Drosophila melanogaster: one gene and its partner. The protein of the gene in region 1 purifies or fractionates together with the protein of each later gene. This does not show direct contact. Each region holds a gene or a part of one and is shown on either strand. Other genes may lie near its edges. The genes, in order: Fs(2)Ket and mud.

Evidence for each region.
Region 2: the proteins of Fs(2)Ket (region 1) and mud purify together in Drosophila melanogaster (affinity purification with western blotting, with the first as the bait; one study listed by BioGRID). This does not show direct contact.

Annotation. Positions count from the first base shown.
Region 1 is NT_033779.5:20,733,150-20,737,961, reverse strand, and holds the start of Fs(2)Ket (female sterile (2) ketel), read right to left. Parts: upstream 3,052-4,812; 5' UTR 2,872-3,051; exon of another isoform or gene 2,793-2,871; intron 2,710-2,792; 5' UTR 2,590-2,709; coding exon 2,532-2,589; intron 1,860-2,531; coding exon 1,618-1,859; intron 1,545-1,617; coding exon 516-1,544; intron 448-515; coding exon 1-447. Other genes in the region: TM9SF2 (transmembrane 9 superfamily protein member 2), read left to right, coding at 3,899-4,036.
Region 2 is NC_004354.4:14,245,604-14,250,912, reverse strand, and holds the start of mud (mushroom body defect), read right to left. Parts: upstream 3,182-5,309; 5' UTR 2,794-3,181; coding exon 2,755-2,793; exon of another isoform or gene 2,689-2,754; coding exon 2,514-2,688; exon of another isoform or gene 2,378-2,513; coding exon 1,793-2,377; exon of another isoform or gene 1,723-1,792; coding exon 1,616-1,722; exon of another isoform or gene 1,539-1,615; coding exon 1,431-1,538; exon of another isoform or gene 1,269-1,430; coding exon 1-1,268. Other genes in the region: CG32599 (uncharacterized protein), read right to left, coding at 4,535-5,083, 5,149-5,294.

The DNA of each region.
Region 1 (4,812 bases):
AGTGGCGCACAGAAGCGATTGTAGATCGTTGAACTGATGACGATCGCTGTGATTGTTAATCTGCGTTTCCATCTGCATCACCTGGTTCAAGCGCTCCAAAATCACCAGCGTGGTGCGCTGGACCACCAAGTAGCAATCCAAGGGAGAGTTCTTGATCATATCCATAAGTGCCTGATAAGCAGCACATCGCAAATTGGCTTGAGCTCCGTCCGATCGATCAGTGGTCTCCAGCAACTGGGTAATGATGTACTCAAAGTACGGGGACAGGGCGTACGTCTCCGGAGTCTCTCCGTCGTTGGTGACCGCTGCCTCCCAAGCTGCATCGGAAAGTCCAATGAAGGCCCAACACACGTTGGCTGCTACACGCGGCTCTGACTTTAGGCTCTTCACGAAGCACTCCAAAAGCGTTTGAAGATATGTCTCGTTGATAGCCGCCTCGGGAATTATCTGTCAGGAAAAAGCAGTAGAAGGTTAGTATGACAATATGAATCACCTTAAAAATCACCACTACGCACATCGCAAATACGTCCGAAGGTCCAGGCGATGGTATCGCGCACGATAACGCTGGAGTCGTACATCAGTCGAATGAGCGTGGGCATGGCTTGCTCCACGAGCGGCTTTAAGGTATTGGTCTCCAATCCATTCAGCACGGAGCCGAAAGTCATTACCGCTGCGTCGCGGAATCGCCAATTAGGTGACTCGATGTTCTCCTTGATGAAGGGAAGCACATGTGGCACGATCTCGTCCTCGCAACATGTGGCCAGCACCATGAGGCAAACGGAGGCGGCCTTCGCCGGGCTCCAGGTGTCCTCGTCATCGCACTCGTCCTGCTTGGTTAATTTCTCGACGAGCACAGGCGTCAGGAACTGCAGAGCACCTCGAGCATAGTGCTTGGACACTCTCTGCGGAGCGCGGCCCTGATCAGTGGCCTCCTGGCTTTCGATGGCCAGATCTATCTCCTCATCGCAGACGTTCGACCAGAACTCTATGCCCTGCAGCGCTACAGCATCGTTATCAGACTTCATGGCCGCCAAAGTAATAGGGAAAAGAGCCTGTGCCATGTAGGGCTCCATGTACTGGTAATAAAGGGTCATAATCTTCACCAGGCACTGCAGAGCGGCAACGCAGATTTGCGAGTCCTGGCACTGAGTGGCCTCGCACACCACCTCCATGATGAAGTTGCGCTCCATGTCTTTCTCAAAGTTCGATTTGGTGAACTCCAACGAGTTGTGAAGGGCCGTGGTGGCCGCCAAGCGTACATGATTGCTCGGCTCTACCTTTCTCATGCCGTGAATAATAGCAGTCAGCACATCGTTCGACTGGTTCTCCATGACGCCGAAACGAATGTCCTGGCAAATGTAGCCAATGGCCTCCAGCGCCGACTCGCGATGCATCTCGCTGGATCCTTCGCTGACCACCTTGTTCACCAGTGTCTGGATGAGCATGGGCCAGCGGTTTATCGGCAGCTCAATCACGGCCACATAGGCCACGCACTGGGCGGCGCAGGAGGGTCGGGTGTTCTCGGTACCCAAAGCAGCCAGGATCTGAAAGTAAGTCGCAGTTATTCAGTGCCAATTGTACAAGTCATATGTTTCAACATCAGCGTATGTAACTTACGTTATTCTTGATCAACTCGCGGATCTCGCTGGGAAACTGATGCCAGCGATCCTGGTACTGTTGGCTGACCTTCTCGTCCTTGCTGGTCAGGTGGTTCTTCAGCTGGAGACCGGCTGCCATTCGCGCCACCGCACTGTTGGCCGTGTTCACCAGTATCTCTGACAGCGCCTTGAGAAACTCGGGCAGGTTGCTGGCCGCCGCCTGCTCCAGAAAGTTCTTCGCCGATAGCAGCTCATTTTTGTCTGAAAATGCGTCATTTGGTTGGTTAGACATTTTTAATTTCCAATTATGTCAACGAAAGATTTTATTTGTGGGCCTACACACGCCCACCATTTTGGGTCGGCTTAAAGCTTTGGTATCAGGCCATTGAATTTTACAACAATTGACTTTTGGGAATGTGAAGGCAAGATAGGAACTTTTAGGCAAGGCGTATATAGTGAGAATATTGTTTAATAAGAATACAATAGATGGTGAAAGAAGTGTGTGCATATGAAGAGCTAAGCAGTAAGGTCTAGTAATGAATTGTAGCGGTGGAGCATAAAATCTTCAGGCAAGGGGCAAGTTTGCAGGCATTCCTTATCAGCAACCGGAAGAACTGGCCGCCAAGCATACGGTGGTGACTCCGAAGCGACGCCTCATCGATTCCTAGAGTTAGTGAGGTTATGTCGCAGGCGGTTCGTACATCCTTAATTGTAGGAGCGCAAGCATTGCGAATACATACAGACGCGCCGCCAAGTTTCCCTTGGAGTATGTACGTGGATGCACATGTGTGCGGAGGCCCCTAGCAACCAAACATATGCGAGCGCCTATTGCAACCCTGCGCAACATATAACGCGCGTCCCTCCCGCCAATCGAAGAAAAATCCATATTTTTCGGATCTATACACACACGTTTGTAGCAGTGGGGAAACTCACCTGGCGACACCGTCTTTTCCAAAATGGCAATCAATTGCATGGCGATATCGGAAGTCATGTCTTCGCTCTTTTCCTCTCTATATGATTTCTACTTCACTTTCCGTTTCTTTCTGCAGCTCGTGCGTCTGTGTGGGTGATGGAATTTTTGCGTAATTACTAGACAACACTAGTCTGTCGGCTGCAAATGGTGGAGACAAAAGAGTTAAAGTTATTGGGCTGCTCCGCTGAAGCTGGCGATTTTATTTCGACAGGTTGCAACACCTTGATTGTCAAAAGAATTGATTTTTTCGCACACACGCACACAACAAGCGCGTTCAGTAGAACTCTTCATTCTACTCACATTGTTGTTTGGTTATTTTTCGGGAACGGTAAAAAAGCGCGGGATTCCTAACGGCGATTTTCTTAGTTATTATTATAAGCCTATTTAATGGTGGCAGAACCTTTATCTGCTCTTCGGGAAGTGCAGGCAATATATTTCTTGTGTCTCCGATTTGAAATAGAGCTGAAACGAATGTCGATTTTTATTTGATAGCACTGAGTTTCGATGAAAAAGGCGACACCTATTCGATTGCTTTATTCGAACTATCGATAATTTTTAAATCTAATAACGTATTAATTAAATATTCTTAAATGCGTAGGAAATGTGCAACCATTTGACAAAATATATTATTAGTCAGGAACGATAAGACCAAAATACTTACTACTTGTATTAAAACGCGTTTGCCTCCCCAAAAATCAATCGTTAAATTTGAATGATTGTGCTTATCGAAAATTTTCATATTCAAAGATAAGCACGGAAGCAAAACCTCGAACGAACTAAATAATCGAATACTTTGACTTAAGAGTCGTAGGTAAAAAACTAACAAATGAACAAAATTTGATTACTATATTAAGAAACAGTGGATAAAAATAGTAATATCTTAGAAGTATCACACGTATACGTGTGTATATTGGTTGCATTCGCTTACTGAACAGGGGAATTAATTAATTTAAATATAAAAGTTTATTAAGTCTACCAAATTTCGTTTTGCACGTAATAATAATAAGAGCTAAAGGTTTTCGCGGTAATATTTAGCTTTGCAAATGCTGGTAGTTTTTTTGTCAGCCAGTTGGCAGCCCTCTCAGCTGTACTAGGTGGCAACGCTGCTACAGTGCTGACGTTCGGCAAAAAAGAGGAAACGTAGTAAAAACACTCGAAAAACTCCGTATATTCCGATAAATATCCAGATAGTACGGTTTGTGCGTGGCCCGCCGATCCGGAAAGTGTGGCAGAGAATCGCGGACACGGCCACGTTGTGATTACAACCCGTACAAGTAAAGGAAGAAGGTCTGCTACTCCTGCCGTTCGTTGGTTACCCCAATTCGAGATGATCCTGCTATCCGGACTTCTGCCGCTCCTGGGCGTCGTTCTCTTGCACCTTGCGACCCCGACACAGGCCTTCTATCTGCCCGGACTGGCACCGGTCAATTTCTGCAAGAAAACCGACGTCTCATCCACATGCAAGGTAGGTGTATACGTATGTGCAGAAGTGCAGATGTACATATGTACGTAGATAGTGGGTGTGTTTGCCCCACGCCCGCCACAATTAGCAAAGGCACTGGAACTAGTTATGTACATTGGTTCTATATTCCTCTAATGGTGGTCACAGGCGGAAGCACTGATAAGCGCAGTAACTAGTTATATGTGGGGTCCATATGTGGCCCTCTATCTCAACTTCTGCTGACGTTGCCTACGCCAGCTCTCTTTCCTAGCGACAGCTAGATGGGAGTTCTAATGTTGGTTCAGCTGGCTCGCGAATGCGATTTCGGGGGCTCCCGACCTTAAGAATCTTAACATAGTGGCGGCTAACCAATAATTGAACCAGGGAACGCGGTTAGCTTGTCATGCTTCCTTGCATTATGTTTGGGTTATTTTCTTTTTAGTAATAATAGTATAACACAATAACAATATAAATTCAGGACAAAGTATAATTTTTAGTTTGATATCCCAAATAGATGGGGTTAGCCCTTTTAAAAGATGACCTAACTATTGGATGATAAAGCGTGAGCTATTGGTTTTGTTTGCTTCATCTTATCTTTAAACAAATCTAAACAACTTTTTAATATACCCGTAGGTCAAGAAATCCTAATCGGTTTATACGCCCTTAAATTAGACGTTGCCCAATGATAAGAATTAATTAAGGTGTTTCACATTCAATTGTTTCTAACAATCTAAGAGAGCTTTTTGATAAGATAAATTTCTAAGAACCCAAAGTAAAAGCAAATTACGGGGTCAAATTAT
Region 2 (5,309 bases), on another chromosome or scaffold:
TTGTTATGCTCATCGAATGCCATGATCTGTGCATTCTTCGTTTCCAATTCGATCTCCGTTCTCTTTACAAAGTCTAGATGGGAATGCGTCATGTTGTCATGTTTAGCGCTGAGTTCATTTAATTGCTTCAGCATCTGTGCATACATCTTGTTATGTTCATCATGCATCATCTCCAGATCGATCAGTTGGCGTACGCGCCCATTTAAGGTCTCCCCATCTGGCACCATCATCATCCGGACCAACTCATCTTGGGCCGCGTTCTTAGCAATTAGTTCATTTCGACACACTTCATACTTGGCTCTTAAAAGCTCACCGCACTGCTTCAAATGCTGTGCATGGCTTGCCGCACTGGCCTCTTTATCTGCAATTTGGCTGAGCATATTTTCAAGGTTTATATTCCTTTTGCGCAGCTCCTGAATTTCAGCGCCCACATCTTTTATCTGCTTTTCCTTCTCGATTAGCTGCAGATTGATATCGGCCAAATGTTGATCCCCGCGATCAATTATTGATTTAAGCTCAGCGCATTTATCATTAAGCCTTTCGTTGTCTAACTCCAGGTCGTTGTTTTTCGATGCTATATCGACTACCTTCATATGACAACAACTCAAAATGGTTTCACACTCACGGCTCGATTCGAAACCCGACTCCATTGCCTCCGGTATTGTGGCCTCGAATCCATCTAGCTCTTTTGGCTGGCATCCCAGCGATACAGATAACAGCTTGCATTTCTCCAGTAGTTTTTCGACGCACACAGACTGAACGTCGCATTCCTTCTTCATTTGCGTACTCTTCTCCAACGTGTTAACAAATTTACTTTCGATCGCAGAAATGGTGGACAACAGGGACGACGATGTCCATTCTACCGGAAACTCGTGATCGATATTGTGCTTCTGAAGGAAACTTGAAAGGGCCTGACATAGCTCCCGCTGGGAATTGTTCAGATTCAGCAGCTTCTCCTTTAGCTCGGCATTCTCATGCTCCTTCTCGCGCAACTGTTTGTCAATCACGGAACTGGCCAAATTCTCGGGCGTGGTGTTCGGCGACAGCGAACAGTCGAGTAAATCCGAGGATGCGTTTAAGACCTCGATTCGGTTGTGCAAGTCGTCGCGGGCTTCTTTAAGGCACTTATCCAATTCCTGTTTATCGGACTCCAGAGAGGAGATCATAACGTCCCTGGACGATACGATACGAGTCAAGTCGTCTACACGACTTTCAAGGAATCGAATGCGGTCCGTATACTCCAGCAATCGTTTTCCTGCCAGATTCAGCTATTTAATGAATGCAAGATATAACATATATTAGATTTCATTATGAATTGAATGTAAACGAATATAATCTATACAGTTGCTAGTTTTTCGCTAACATTCGCACAAGACCCGGTGGAATTTTCTTTATAGTATAGTCCCTATAAAATTGAACAGGTAGCTTACCTTCTCGGACAGCTCGGAATTTTCGACACGCAAATCATGCAGCTTATCGGTAATCTCAGCGATGAGACTCTCCTTTAGACCGATTTCCTTTAAAAGGCATCCCTTCATCTGAAATGAGGATTAAAAGTTTTATTAGTTTATAGCTCCCGCTCGCTACCTGTGACCATCTGCGCTAGTCTACCTACATGCTCAAACTCATATGGCATAATGTGGTGGCTCTCGTTATCGTGGTGCTCTTCGGTTAGCTTCACGTTTCTTAGTTTTTCTAGTTCCATCTTGGCCATCATTTTCTCTGAAATGCAAACGATTATGAAATTACTTGTAAAAAAATTATGAAAGTAATGCATTCGAAGCATTCTAACCTTTGTTGAGAACTTTAATGAGCTCGTCCTTCTCCATTTGCTGCTCCTCCAGCAAGGCCTTTTCGTAGCGCACCACCTCCAGCTGGGTACGAATACCGCGCAGCTCCTTGGTGCGTTGCTCCAGTAGCTCCGTTTTCGGGGTCGAAGGAGGTGGCATTTCGCAGCCATTCAGGCGAAGTTGTTCGCGATGATTGCGCAACTGTGGCGTGCTGCTCGACGGCTGTGACGATGACGATGAGGGCGTGGATGGGCATGGTGCATCATCGCTCCTCGGATCGGGACTCAGGCTGCTGCTGGGAAGACATGGGCTGACTGAGGTCGAAACCCCTTGTCGGTAAACAACTGCAACGTTGGCGATCGCCTGGCTAAGATATTCGCGCGTCAACAGCCTGTCCACGGTCTCTCGAAAGAAGGATGCGATGCATGTCTGTGTCAGCTCCGGCAGTTTATTGCAGATGTTGTGAAAGAACAAGCTGGGCTTCTTAACGCACGAGTAATGCAACAGGAGCGTGTAAACGTAAAGGCAATCCAAAGGCAGATCGACTTCCTTGTCATCCTGTTGTGCAATGAACTCGGGATAGTTATCTGCATGGGAAAATTTACAAGTTAGTGGGTTCATGAAGTTGGAAGTGCGCTAAATTCTCATACTAAGGCTTCACTATTTATTAATGTTTCCCTATACCCTATGAGAAACTAGGAAAATAGGTAAAAAAAAACTTACGTGCTAGGAATTCCTGCACAAGGGGGCTTTGTTCTGTGGGCTGATCCTGCAGCTCATTCTTCCCCTTAACATTTTCCGTCTCCTGGATCTTTTGAATGAAGACCGAAAAGAAGGAGTCCAGATCCGACTGCTCCAAGGTAATGTAGTTCGATTCGATGAAGTGGCACTCGCCAATCTGCCGCAGAATTGGGTTAATCTAAATGATTCCCAGTGCGTGATGCGCAATGCGAGATTTACATACCCACTGGAGTAGGACCTTGCGCCAGCTGCGCGTGTCCATTGCGAATTTTTGTGCGTTTTTATGGGTGTGTGTGCGCCCGTATATGTATGCTCAATGTCTGCGTAGACTAATCACACTATCATTGTTGGCATCCAGTAACGGATGTTTTCCAGAACACGGCACAGCACACAAAACAATGTACGCGAAACAAACGGGTTTCGATCGAAAACGCAATTAAACAAAAAATATATTTAGCACAAATGCTCACGAAAACCGAATATTTGTTTTTTTTTTTGTATTTTCCAACCAGAAGCACAACTGCTCCGAACGAGCAATGAAAATTTAATGACTAAACTGAAGTCCGCAGGGCAACAAACAATTTTGACAGTTCCACAAACGAAAACATAGGTAACTAGATACGAAAAAATGCAACAACTTCTCGTTTCGGCGGCGCGTCGTTTAATTCAAATGCCGCAGCGCGACGCCATGCGAGGTGCGCTCGGGTATTGTTATCGGGCGATCGATACTTTCCAGCTGCAAGCCAGGCCGCGTCCACTAGATGCGTTTCTGCTATCGATATCTGTGCGAAAGAAGTGGCTTGTGTTTCCACCATGGCATATTGCATAATTCAAGAAACAAATGTTTCACATGAAATTTGATAAATAATTCAATCTACTTTGTTACGAACTGCTTTCCTGCCTTAGTGGAACGGCTCCAACTGCAATAACCTGTTGCTTTAATACCAAAGTATCCAAAGTATATAGTGATATTTTCAATTGAAATTATCAATTAATATATTAATATGTAATTAATATATATTATCTAATGTAATTTTCCAAGTATGGAAAAACTAGTTGAATCCCGCTATGCTGAAAAACTAAGCAAATTCCATAATTGAAACCGCCTTTTGTGTTTACCCCAATCTCACACATAGATGGCGGCACTGGTCTACAATGCGAATTTCCTGCCAAGTAAACAAGCAACCAAGTGGCTTCTATTTTGGCGGGGAATTCCAAAATCCGATGGCCAATAGCGACCGAGTGTGGCCCACCACATGTAAACTATTAAATTGTAATAACAATAATCAATGACCGAAAACAATGTGCCCGGAATTGCCACCCACCCATCCTCGTTTCTGGGCACGCACACGAGCACAGGGTAGCCGAAAATCTAGTTATAGTGCTGATCGTTAAAAATAACGCCACCATTAATTCGGACAAACAATGGAAATGCACCGCTGATGTACATGTAAAGCAAAAAAAAAAAATCAGAGAAAAAACCAAACATTTTAACGTAAGGAAGTAGGCAGAATAAACAATATGGTGGTGCGAAAACGACAAGCGGTTCAAAAACTATTGTCTAAATTAAGCGTTACAAAAAGAAAGCCATCAGCTTGATCGAAAATCAATAATTACAATACTTGAATTTCAACTTGAAAACACCTCGCCAAAAAATCTCGAACTAAACTATTCCATAACTATTAGTTTTACAACTCACTTAAATCAAGTTGTAAACACACGATTTTGAAAATATTCAAAAGCCAGATGGGCTGAACTATGTGCACAATACAATTCTCACGTATTTAGCATTGATTTCGTTACGAAGATCGGAACATTTCCTTCCTTTTGATTGCCGTCTATTTATAAAGGCGAATTTCCTGTTTATATTTTTTATAATACATTTATTTAGTCGACACAATGGCGAGGTCGGGCCTCCGCCCCCCCCCCCCCAAAAAAAAAAAAAAAAGAAAGAACTACTCCACTTCCACATGCATATGTACATCCATCCAGATGGTTATATCTCACGGAATCGAGCTGACACGCACCACCTGCGCCAGTGGCAACGTGTCCAGGCGCTGTAGTCGCTGTCGTTTCTCGCCGGGATTGAGCTTGGCCGCAGCACTGGCCTGGCCACCTGGACTGGCGACCGTACTGCGACCTGATCTCGTACCCGGACCAGATGCGCCAGCTGAATCCGTGCTATCGCTCTGCGCCTCCACCAGTTTGACATGGGCGATGGTCTGACCGAAGAGCTTCTGCCGGAAACTGGGCCTCTTGGGCGCTCCACGATGCACGCCAATGTCCGGCGTATGCGAGCGCTGATGGCTACGTTGATGATGATCATCTCGCTCCACGGAGCGCTCCTTGTGACGATGGCGTCGCTGCTTCTTGCGGTGCTCACCGCCACCGTTGGGCAGCAGCTCGTTGACGTAGTGCAGCGAACTGGAGGCACTGCCCGTGGAATCGGTGCCGGAGTGACCATGATGCGATTGCGCCTTCTTCGCGTGGCGCGCATGCTTCTCCTCCAGCTCGATTTTGTTCTTTAGCGTCACCTCCTCGATGTGCCGCTCCTGGAAAATGAAAGAGCATCGCTGAGCATCATTCATTGGCTTTCCTCGTATTTGGTGTGTCCTACAAACATGGCACGCCTGTGCTTGTCCCTCTTGGCCAGGACGACCACCCAGGCGCCGTAAGAGAGCATGATGCCCGCCGGTACCAGGACGCCAGCCAGCGAGTTCTCCGACTTCCGGACGCAGGCATGGTAGACGGCCAGGAAGAGCACTGTGGAAATGGATT